3 linked regions of the Rhinolophus ferrumequinum genome follow. The protein of the gene in region 1 purifies or fractionates together with the protein of each later gene. This does not show direct contact. Links are inferred from orthologs where the notes say so. Each region holds a gene or a part of one and is shown in the gene's direction. Other genes may lie near its edges. The genes, in order: CD9, IGSF8 and PTGFRN.

Region 1 (3,744 bases):
AAGGCCTGGACAAACAATGGTCCTTATCCTTAAGGGGCCAACTGCCTGCCCCTTCTGCCCTCCCCCACTCAACTAACATACAGATGAGAAATGAACTAAATCACACAGCCAATAGAATCCTTCAGAATGCAAAGTCAGGGGCTGCGAGGTTCCCTTCACCCCACCCCTAGCTAGGTCGCTACCTTCACCTCCCCACATACTGCCCCCATGCCCCCCTGTGAGCTCTAGCCCAGACCCCAGACAGCCCCAGCCCCAGGCATCACCCGAGATTCTCTGACGACTGCAGTAACTTTCCCTGTGGTTCTGCAGCATTGCTTCCAAGTCTGGGTCAGAGGCCCTTCCTTTGAGCTCCCTTAGCCCTGCCGCACACACATATACACACATATAGTATATACAGCACTCTAATCCCCTTGCCAGCCTGCCTGCATACCTCCCCAAGTGGACTCAGAACTCCCTAAGGGCAAAAACAGGATCAGCTCCTTCCTGCTCCTAATGCTGTACCCTCATAAGTAGACAGTGAAAAATGTTTTTGAATGAATGGAGATAAATCTAACAATGAAAATAAACAGCTAAATAAGAGCTACCAGTTGCTGCTGATGGGTGAAATTTTGAGTTACATTCTTTTTGCTTGTTGGTCTTATTCTGATGTTTCTGTATTGAGTATGTTTTGCTTTTGTAATAAAAAAACAAAAAGAACACTAAAGGACACTTCATTTTGAAAAAAATGCAGAGGGGTTTTGGGACAACAGAAGAAGGGAAACGTCCTCATCCTTTGGTGAGAATCAGGAAAGAAATGTTTCAAGAGCCACAGAATTTCTGCAAGTGAAGAGGGGAGGGCCAACCAGCCTTAGGGCACACACCACTGGCACATGCAAAGCCGGGCCAACAAATGTGTGGAGTGCTGGGCAGAGCAGAGTGGTTCCTTACAGATGCAAGATAAGTTATTTCCACTTAGGTCATTGAATGTGGGGAGCTACAGAGACCTTTGAGCAGATGAAAAACATGAACAGAACTTGGTATCCAGAGCATTAAAGAGGGAGTAGTGGACGAAGTCCAAAAGGCAAGAGGGTGGGTGGTGTGCAGTAGAGGCAAGAGGGAAGCTGGGCAACAAACTATCTTCCCCTCTCGGGGCATCTAAACCACAAGTCTAGGAAACGCTCCCGGATTGCCCAACCCTCAGACATATTACTATTTGGTGACGGGCATTTAGAATTATTTCGGTAAGCCGCCGACCTATCTTCCCACCTGGACTGCAAGCTTCTAATTCCTGCTACTCCACATGAGGTGCCAAATACAACCGTGCTCAAAGAGTGAAGGTTTGCACGGAGCCGCCCCAGGAAGAAATAAAGCCAGGCAGCTTCCCTTCAAATCGAAGCCAAAACACGAAGTGCCCTCATTGTGCGGGCAGCCAGCCTTGAGTAAGGGGATTATATCCCGACGACCTGACCCGGAGAAGGTCTCTCAAAGTGGAGGCCTCGGGCAGGAAGCCCGGACTCGACCAGGCGAGAACCAGAACGGCGAGGCTGCCACAAAACGCCCAGGTTAAAGCAGCAGGGGGTGGCAGTCTGGAAAGACCCCTAGACGGTTGGGAGGAAAGGGGGTGGATGGCGTAAGAAAGGGACCGCCAAGTCGGTGGGGAGCGGACGGAGCCCGAAACTATGGGAGAAAGAGGGAAGGGCGCGGATGGGGGTCTGCAGGGGCTGGAATCTCGGGAACCTGGGCGGGGGCGGGCGGCGGGCGGGGGCCGGGGCAGGTGGGGCCGGGGGCGGGGCCGGGGCGGGGTCCTCGGCACATGCGCACTGCAGCCTACAGGGCTCCGTACCGAGTGGCACTTTTTTAAAAGTGCAGCCCGGAGGCCAAGCGGCAGCCACCCGCACGTCGGTCCCAACCTGGTCCTGCCCGTCCCCGCCGCGCGCCCCGGTCCCACACCAGTGCAGTTCAGGCCAATCCAGCCCGCACCATGCCGGTCAAAGGAGGCACTAAGTGCATCAAATACCTGCTCTTCGGCTTTAACTTCATCTTCTGGGTGAGTGAGCGCGACAACCGCGCGTGCTTCTCTCCGGGGCCACCTGTCCGCCCCAGGGACCCTGTCCGCGGTCGCGGGTACGGGTAACTAAAACCGCCCGCCGGGTAGACTCCGGGCCGAGGAGAAAGGGCACGGCGGGCGCCAGCTGGCAGCGCCGCCGGGTCCGGAGACGGGCGGGGCGGCTGTGTTTGTAGGGGGCTCTCCGAAGCCGGGCAGGCAGGAAGACACGGGGTCCCCAGCGAGCTGGGGCGTAGAGACCCGCTCCAGGCCGCTCCTTCGCTAAGGGTGTGGGCCGGGCTGTGTGTGCCCCTGCGAGTACGGTGAGGGAGGGAGTGGAGCCGCTAGGGAGAAACGGAGCACCCCTCCCGGGAACTCGAGGCCCTGGCCCAGGACGGTAGCGGAGAGTGCAGTTCGTGACCGAGGTGAGGTCTCACAAGTGGCAGGGCCGCGATGAGGGGAGGGTGCGGGCGCCCTAAAGGACTTTAGTGGCTCAGGGAGAGCTCCGCCAGGAGCTGTTGGCACTTTTACACTGGAGAGGAAGGAGTGCGGATGGCCGGTCCCGGTCCCTAAGTGAGAGGCGGGACCACCCCCCTCCACCCTCAAGGAGGAACCTTCAGCCCCCTCAATTCTCTCAAACTCTGATTCTGAGCCGCCACGAGAATGTCCGAGCTCCCTCGAAACTACCTGAAAGACTAGCTTGTCTTGATTTTTTTTTCAAGGGCGATAAGTATCTGAACTGGGGAGAACGCTGGGAGAGTTGGGGAGAGGAGGGGCAGATGCAAGTGCGCACTTTTAGTGGGATTTCTCCAGTTCCGGGAGAGATTAGGTGCGGGCCCCAGAGCCCTCTGGCTTCGTCCCCTTCCGCCCCCACCTCCCCCGAGTGGCAAGGCGTGGCCACGAAAGCGCGCGTTCACCTGGAGAGGACACCTGGCCGTCCTCCAGGACTCCCGCTGCTGGCCGCACTCAGCCTTTCTGCAATAGGAACCCTGAGGGAGGCAGCAGAAAAGGGGAGTGTCTCCTCCACACCTTCCCTTGGAGGATTAAGGGACCACCCAGAGACGGAAGCAAGGAATAGGGAACCTTCGTGTTCTGGTTTTGAGGGCTACATCCGCTGCACATAGATGAACGGTCTTTGCCTTTCTGCAGTCAGGAAGGAGTTTGGAAAGGTAGCCCCTGTGCCACGCAAGAGAGACGGCTGTAAAAACGGGCATGCCACCGGAGGCTTATAAAAAAAATGTACTGATTCCCTTGGAGCTGGTCCCTGGGATCCCCACAATCCTCGGGGCAAATCTCCTGAAATTTAATCCTTTCTCCAGAGCTGACAGGGTAAGATACTGAGCTGCCCTTGCAAGAGTCACCACACCCAACACGTGCTAGTGTGGCTGGCACACAGGTGTGCCCCTGCCCAACCCTTGGCCTGCTTTGGGGAGACCCTCCTGTGGTGGGCACCCTTCACCCCCTCCCATCCCCTATTCCCAGCACCCAGCCCCTATAACTGCCAGGCTCGGCTTCCTCTTCTCATCAACCCCAGCACCAGAAAAGAATGTCGAAGGCAGCCCGCCCCAACCCACCCCACTCTTCTCCTTTGGGGAGTTTTCCTCCCCTCCCTAGCACAGTCTCTCCCCTGCCAGTCTGTTGGTTAGTCCTCAGCTCTCCTCCTAGGCTGCATCAGGGTTTGGGGCGAGAGTGAACCACAGATTACCAGTGTGCCTCCATAC
Region 2 (3,744 bases), on another chromosome or scaffold:
CGCCCCCCGGAACCTCCCGAGAGTCGGCCGCGCAGGATGGGTGCCCTCGGTCCCACGCCGCCACCGCCGCTGCTGCTGCTGCTAATGCTAGGTAAGCCCGGCCCCTGCCCTAGCCTTCAACCTTGCCCGGCAGGTGCCTGCCACCAGGCGCTTAGCCGGGCCATCTTCCCTAGCATTTCGGAGCCCTTCGCACCTCCTTCTCCGTCAGCGGCGCCTCCAGATCACCCAGCCAGCCTGGGGGGAGGGGGGTGAAGTCCCTTCAGCTGTAGGCCCCAGGCTGGGGCAGTGAGCACCCATCTGCCAGGGACTGCCAGGCCTCCGGGAGGGCTAGACCCCATTTCTCAGCAAGCACACCTACATCCTAAGGTCGCTGCGCCCAAATGCTGTGGCTCCTCTCTGCCTCACACTCAGCTTCAGGCCCAGCCTGGGGTGCCCGCCCTGCGTGGGCAGTGCCTGCGGGCCTTCATAATTGCCGGAGTTGGCTGGAGGCCCGGTTGCCGGTTCTGCTCATGATCTTTGAAGTAAGTCTCCCCGGATTGCACCCCCCCACACACATACACACACACACACACACACACACACACACACACACCCCTCATCTGAGGTTGGGCGCTGTTCCCTCTCTCACCCCTCATCTCTGACCTGGGCTGGGTCCCTCTTTGCCCCACCTGCCCTCTTCCAGATGGCACTTGGCTCTGTACCCTATTTCCCCGAAAATAAGACCTAACCGCAAAATTAGCCCTAGCATGATTTTTCAGGAAGACATCCCCTGAACATAAGCCCTAATGCGTCTTTTGGAGCAAAAATTAATATAAGACCCAGTCTTATTTTCAGGGAAACAGGGTAGCTTCCCACCATTTGTCACACCACCTTAGTCCCAGCTTCCCTGCCTGGGGAGAAACCAGGCTCCATGGAGACTGAGCTGGGATTTCCAAACACCCTGTTTCTGTCATGGTGGGTGTTCATGGTGGGGTGTCCTGGGCCACTGTTGCATGGATGCATGAGGGCAGTGACTATGGGATTGATTTTGGCATAAACTGGAGGGCTTCCTATAGGAGATGGTCTGGGGAGGAGTGTGGCATCAAGACAGGGTGACTGCCTGTACAGATGATCAGGAGACTGAAGCCCTTAAAATAAGAGCATGGCGTGGGGGACGAGGGTGAAGGTGGGGGTAGCCTGGCTGCCAGGATTTGTAGCTGCTATAGTCTAGGCTTAGGCTGATGTAGCCCCAGCTCCCTTTTCTAGACCAGAGTTCTACAACGGCACCAGCAGAGTCTCCCTCTGCTGAACAGGTCCCTAGGCCCTGTGGAACTAGAATGAGTCCTCTCCTTGGGGCCTTGGGCGGGAGGCAGAAGGATGTCAGAGGGACCAGTTGCCTAGCATTTGGCCTGTTTTCCCCACTGGGCAGTGTGGAGCAGAGAGGAGCCCACGGGAGATGGGTAAGTGTGATGCACAGAGATGGAAGAGCCTGCCGAAATCGGGGGGCACTTATATTTATTTCAAAGATGAGGAAAATGGTGTAACTTGCCCAGAGAATTCATCTCGTAAGTGTTGGGGTTAGGATTTGAACCCAGATCTGTCTGACTACAAAGCAAGTCTCTCTTCTCTCCCTTCCCTCTCTGCTAACACAGAGGAGCGGACCTGGCTGGAGAGAGAACTGCCAGGCAGCTGGTTTCCTAAGGCACTGGGGGTGACTTTCCCATGAGATCGCCAAGCATCAGCAGTTGTGGAGCCAGGAAGGTGGGAGGGGGCCCTTCAGAGTGGAGTCAGCCTGATGGCTGGGGAAGGTGGAGGCCCTGGAGGAAGGTGTCAGCTCAGCCATCTTTGCCAGCACCCTGATTATGAAGTGCTCTCAGGCAGGACCCTCCTGAGTCACACTAACTCACTATCTGAATGGAAGCTCTTAGCTCTCCTTAGTATGGAAACTGAGGCCTGGGAAAGGAAGGGATGGATTTAGGCCATATAGCTGGAGATAGGAATGGGACAGACTTCCAGCCTGTGCTCTAACCAAGTGACCACAGTTCTCCTCATGACTCAGCCACAGAAGGAAGGGCAAGGAGCTGGGCTCAGGTGGGAGAATCAAGAGGAGGGAGCACTTCTGGAGGACAGCAATTGAGCACAAACTCGGTGTTTTCTTCTAGCCCCTGGGGACAGGCTGTCGGGGTACCCCTGGGAGTGACATTCTGTTTGGTGAGATCATCTCCTCAGGCCTCACTTGCCTTGGCGCTCCCTATCGGCCTCTCTGGCTTTGTCCCTCCGCAGGGATGTGTGGAACCATCTAAGGACAGTAGGATCTTAGCCAAGACAGTGTACTTCTCTTGCCTTACCTTTCTCATCTGTAAAATGGAGGCAGGGCTCTGTCCCAGCCCTCGTTACATTCTGGGGTTCTGTGATATTATCTAGTGGGGATAGGATGGAAGGAGAGAAGCTGAGCCCTCTAAACTGCCAGAGTATCTGCTGGGGCAGGGTGGGGTCTGGAGGAGAGAAAGAAGAGAAGGGGCAGCTGGGGATTTTGTGGTTCCCTACAGAAAAGGAACCATATGTAAATAAAGGCTTTTGTTGGGGGTGTGGGGGGGTAATTGGGCATCAGCTGGGCTAGCCTGGAAGATTGGCAGGCACTGGGGGGGAAGGGATCTTCTGCCCCCAGAGCCCAGAGTAGAGCCTGGTTCTTGCCCCATAAGCCTCAGCTGCCTCAGCAGTTCTGTGGGGTAGGGGAAGCAGTGAGCTCATGGCACAGCTGGAGGGAGGAGGGCATTGTGTGGTGAGAAATGACATTGTCTCTGTCCTGTCCAGCTTGGGCCACTGGCTCCATTGTCTGGAGTCCCCTGGCCCAGGTGACACAGCTAAGCCAACCAGCCCTTCTGAGCAAGATTTTGCCAGCTCCTCTCAAACAAAGGAGGGGAATATGTGGTCTCAGAATCCCTTAGCTAGAAGGCTCCACTGACCAGGCCAGAATGGGAACCACAGACATGAGACTGGAGGTTGGGAGGAGGGAATCAAGGTACAGCTGGAATCAGAAAATGGTTACAACAGGAAAAAGATGTTCTTTCTGATTCTGGCCTGTCAGAAATGGCATATTTCTGGGTTCTGAGGTAAACCTGGCTCTGGACCAGCTCTTTGGGACCTAGGTGTCTTACCTGCCAGCATCCTTACCCTATTCTCAGAACTCTGCCTAAGCTGCATACCAACTTTCTCCAGATTTCCTTTCCTTTCAGGGGCAGGGGTCAATAATGGTGCTGGTAGTGGGGGGATGCAATGGGGACCAAGGATCCCCAACTTCTCCTCTTTTTCCCTACAGGAGTCCGGTGCTGTGCCCGAGAGGTGCTGGTCCCCGAGGGGCCACTGTACCGCGTGGCTGGCACAGCCATCTCCATCTCCTGCAATGTCACTGGCTATGAGGGACTTGACCAGCAGGACTTTGAGTGGTTCCTGTACAGGCCCGAGGCCCCAGAGGCTGCACTGGGCATTGTCAGTACCAGGGATAGCCACTTCTCCTATGCTGTCTTTGGGCCCCGCGTGGCAGCTGGTGAGGTACAGGTGCAACATCTGCAGGGTGATGCTGTGGTGCTTAAGATCACCCGCCTGCAGGCCCAGGACGCTGGCGTTTATGAGTGCTACACACCCTCCACTGATGCCCACTACCTGGGCAGCTACAGCGGCAAGGTGGAACTGAGAGGTACTGGGCCCTAGGAAAGGGCAGGGCCACCCCCCAAAAAAAAGGGCAGAAAGTCAGGGCCAGGAGGG
Region 3 (3,744 bases), on another chromosome or scaffold:
TTGGAGTCTCTTTCAGAAGGGCTCATAGCCGGGTGATCACACATTTGTTAGCGGAATAACAAACACTTGTCAGTGGAAAGAATAATGCCTCCGCGTAAAAGTGTGTTTCTCTCCCCAACTTAGGCAGTTTCCCCACTAACATCTGTGATTTGTTTTGCATCTATTAGTGTGAGACTGTGGTGTGTGTGGGGGGGCAGGGGGCCCAGTGCTGCTCCCAGTATGTTTAAATTATCCTTGTGAAGTTCTACACAATGAACACTAAAAATTTCCGCCCCCAAGACTGGGCCTTTTGTATTCAAATCAAAAGCACAAAACCCTATTGTGGGGGGAAAAAAGGATCTATTGGCCACCAGTTGCGACCACTTAAAGGACATTCCATGTAAAGTACTGTAGCTATTAATACACTTGAGTGTTTTCTTTTTTGTTTTGTCTTTCATGGGCGTGTGTGAGAAGTGTTCTCGTAGCCCATAGGCACCACGGAGAGGGAAGAAGGTGGGCGAGGGACGGTGAGGCCCACCCAGCCGCAGGGCAGTGAGCAGAGCTGTGAGATTGGGGTCCTGGTTTTGCCACTTCGCTGTGAATCCTTGGACAAGTCACCTAAACACTTAAGGCCGCTGTACCACAAGGAGGATGTTATCCATGGCCTTTAACGTGCTTCCATGTCTTTCAGTCCTATCTGAATAATTTTTCGCAAGGGCCACGCTGCCTGGTTGGTGGGGTGCTTAGCTTGGGACCTGGGGGTGAACGTGCGGGCAGTTAGCCGAGGGAACAGGAGACAAGCGTGGGTGATTCCAGAGCGGTGGAACGCTGGGTGTCCCAGAAAGGAGCTAAAGCGATGGGATTTCCAGACGAGTCTTTCCAAGGCCAACTTTTAAAGGTCGGAGGAAAGTTTGTCGTGGGGCGGGAGCCCGAGGGGAGAGCTGGGTGGGCTCCGCCGCCTCCTCCCCTTTAAGCGGGCGGTCCCGGCGCTCGCTCCGTTACCTGGAGCGGGGAGGGGCTTGGGAAAGTTTGTGTTTGTTGCTGGCAAAGCGCCCGATGGGAGGCGCGGGCGGGCGGGCGCTGCGGTTCTTCCCTTTTGCTTTCGGGAAGCGGCCGGGGCTGCTGGCTCGGCGCAGCGGGGCGGCTCTGGCGCCCGGCTCCCGGGGCCCGGCCGGCCGGAGGAGGGCGGGGAGGAGGTAGGCGGACCGGCGGGAGCGCGGGGCGCACGTCCGCCCAGCGCTGGGATTGCTCGGCTGGCGACGAGAGCGGAGCAGGCGCGCGGCCCAGGCGGAGGAGCCGACTCTGGAGCAGCCGGAGCTGGAGGAGGAGGAGGAGGAGAGGCGGCGGGGAAGGAGGAGGAGGCGGAGAGTCACTCCCGCCCGGCGAGCATGGGGCGCCTGGCGCCCAGGCCGCTGCTGCTGGCGCTGTTGTCGCTGGGTGAGTGCGCGCGGGGCTTGGCGGGGCGCGGGGACCGTGGGGCCCTGGGGGTTCGGCGGGGCGCGGCTGCAGCGCGCGGCCTGGGGCGCCGAGGGTGCCGGGGCCACTCCCGGGAGACCCGGCCGGGGGACGCGGGCGGCGCGGCCCGGCGGGGAATGACCGCGGGGCCTCCGGGAGCGAATCCGGCCCGGCAGCGCGCGGGGTACCTGTCCCGGCGTCGCCAGGCCGAGCCTCGCCCCCCACACGTGCGGGGGGAGTGGCTCGTGACCCGCTGCCCCCAGCCCTCCCTACCTGTTGGCCGCCCGGAGCCGGGCTCACCTTGATCGCAGGCCCGGAAGGTGCCTGCGGTCCCCGATCAGTGTCCCCAGCTTGGGAGCGGAAATATGCGCCTTTGATCTACCTGGTGGTAGTCGAGCCCCGCCGACTCGCTCCTCACACACAAACCCAGGATGAGTTGCCTTTCTTGGGAAGCCAGACAATCCACCAACTTCCTTCTACGAAGGTCACGAGGTGGCCCAGAGCGCTACAATAGAAATCAGTGTGCGAGTCCTTCTGTCATGTTGGCTGTGGTTAGAGCTTCTGCCTGAGTCTTTTCCTTTATTTCTTCTGGAAACTGCCTAGCTCCATATTTACACACAAAGACCTACGAGGCTTGGCTTCTCCAACTTTTCCTACCTGTTACTTTTTCTGCCTTTCCTGTCCCCTGTCTTCCACCCTTCGCAAACCTCGGTGCCTCTTGATAAATTGGCCCAATGCCCTCCCCCAACCCAAGGAATCTTTGGTGGGTTTTTTTCTCTTCGTTTTCCTTTTACTCCATGCATACAGACACCATCTTCAAAGCAGATACATATCGTTGTCTTGGTATATTAACATAACTATGTGGGAATCAGCCACAGAAATACATCTGTTTATTAAGTGCCCACCGTGGTGCCCCAGGGCTGACCCTTATGTGCTTTGATATTCTTGAATCCTTTTGGTCTGTGTCAGAAGAGAAAGAATGCTGTTACCTGACCACCGGTTTCCTTCCAAGCCTTTGGAGAAGGCAGATCAGAATCTTTTGCAGAGTGCATGGCGTGGGGTGTCTGTCCCAGCCAGGCCCCAGCTGCACACGGGGTAAATGACTACTCTGCACTTACGGTCTGAGGGTCCCAGTGGAGGACCTCCACAGCCGCTCCCATCCTGATGGCTCCAGGGCACCCACTGTCCCAACCCCCATGCCTCTTGCTGCTGGTGGGCCAGGCTTTCTGCTGCTACTGTGTTCTCTTCGCCTCCGAGGGGTTTTCTGGAACTCACTCCCCAAGAGAGCTTATCCAGCCACATTGTTTTAGCTGCGACCATTTGCAGAAAGCTTCCAGATCTTTCACTTAGTTTTGAAGCCTCTCTTCTGTGATCTCGGATCCTAGGGCTTTTATTCTTTTCTTTTCACTCTGGGACCCTTGTAAGATCGTTTGTTTCGTACTGCTGGTGATAGTCCATAATAGTTAATGGGCTCATGTGTTTGGGTCAAACAGGGCCATGGCTAATGGTTGCACAGACTGTGCACTGCACAACTGGGAACTGCTGTTCACTTCATAGTCTCTGTGAGAATGACTCCCCCTAGAGTTGTGCAGGTCACAACCTGTGTATCAGTAAAGGTAGACGTTTGGAAAAAAAAATGCCCTTGAATAGCTATGATAAGGGAGAAAAAGGGAGAGAAGAAAGGGCAAAGGGAGAAAATAGAAGTGGCAACGCAAAAACAAGTGGAGGAAGCGCAGCTTGGGGAGATCTTCATTATGTACCAGTGTATCCCGCCCTGGCTGGACATCTCATGTTAACTACACACGGGTAATGTCTGTGGTGTCCCCAGCCAATGTCTTATCCCCTAGCAGGTCCCTGAACTTGAACCTGATAACTCTGCCCCACAGAACCTCACTCCGAATGGCTTCAGTCTGACCTTCGGGGAGGCCTCCCTATTGTACCACTCTAGTACTGTCCTGATTCCTGAAACGTAATATGTTGATAAGCAAGATCGTCTTTCCTCTCGTATTGCAACCGGGGCATAGTCTTGCCGTCACTTTCTTTGACTTCCATGTTCACTCTGTCCCTCAGTCCTGTGGCTTTTCCCATAGCGCAAACTCCACGGTTTTCCCGTCCTTCCTGTTTCTACAGCTACTATTCTAGCCCAAGATGTGATACTTCCCCACACGGTTCACTTCTGACATCTTCCTGGTTGACTCTTTCCACCAGCCTCCCTTCTAAGGTCATCATTTTCCTAAAGGATCAGCTTTGGGGGTCCTGCCTTTGTGTGCTGGTTTTCTTTTTCTTTTCTTTTTTTTTTTTTTTTAGGAC

The links.
Region 2: the proteins of CD9 (region 1) and IGSF8 purify together in Homo sapiens (affinity purification with mass spectrometry; 5 studies listed by BioGRID and IntAct, counting the BioPlex papers as one, with this or other methods). This does not show direct contact. The link is inferred for Rhinolophus ferrumequinum from reciprocal best matches to the Homo sapiens genes CD9 and IGSF8.
Region 3: the proteins of CD9 (region 1) and PTGFRN purify together in Homo sapiens (co-immunoprecipitation; 8 studies listed by BioGRID and IntAct, with this or other methods). This does not show direct contact. The link is inferred for Rhinolophus ferrumequinum from reciprocal best matches to the Homo sapiens genes CD9 and PTGFRN.

The regions. Positions count from the first base shown.
Region 1 is NC_046293.1:23,516,554-23,520,297, forward strand, and holds the start of CD9 (CD9 antigen), read left to right. Parts: upstream 1-1,391; 5' UTR 1,392-1,541; intron 1,542-1,848; 5' UTR 1,849-1,960; coding exon 1,961-2,026; intron 2,027-3,744. UniProt on the Homo sapiens protein: Integral membrane protein associated with integrins, which regulates different processes, such as sperm-egg fusion, platelet activation and aggregation, and cell adhesion.
Region 2 is NC_046305.1:28,434,360-28,438,103, forward strand, and holds the start of IGSF8 (immunoglobulin superfamily member 8), read left to right. Parts: upstream 1-1,301; 5' UTR 1,302-1,316; coding exon 1,317-1,439; intron 1,440-2,141; coding exon 2,142-2,190; intron 2,191-3,298; coding exon 3,299-3,676; intron 3,677-3,744. UniProt on the Homo sapiens protein: Member of the immunoglobulin superfamily (IgSF) that links tetraspanin-enriched microdomains to the actin cytoskeleton and plays several important roles in innate and adaptive immunity.
Region 3 is NC_046305.1:47,028,090-47,031,833, forward strand, and holds the start of PTGFRN (prostaglandin F2 receptor negative regulator), read left to right. Parts: upstream 1-1,028; 5' UTR 1,029-1,367; coding exon 1,368-1,416; intron 1,417-3,744. UniProt on the Homo sapiens protein: Inhibits the binding of prostaglandin F2-alpha (PGF2-alpha) to its specific FP receptor, by decreasing the receptor number rather than the affinity constant. Functional coupling with the prostaglandin F2-alpha receptor seems to occur.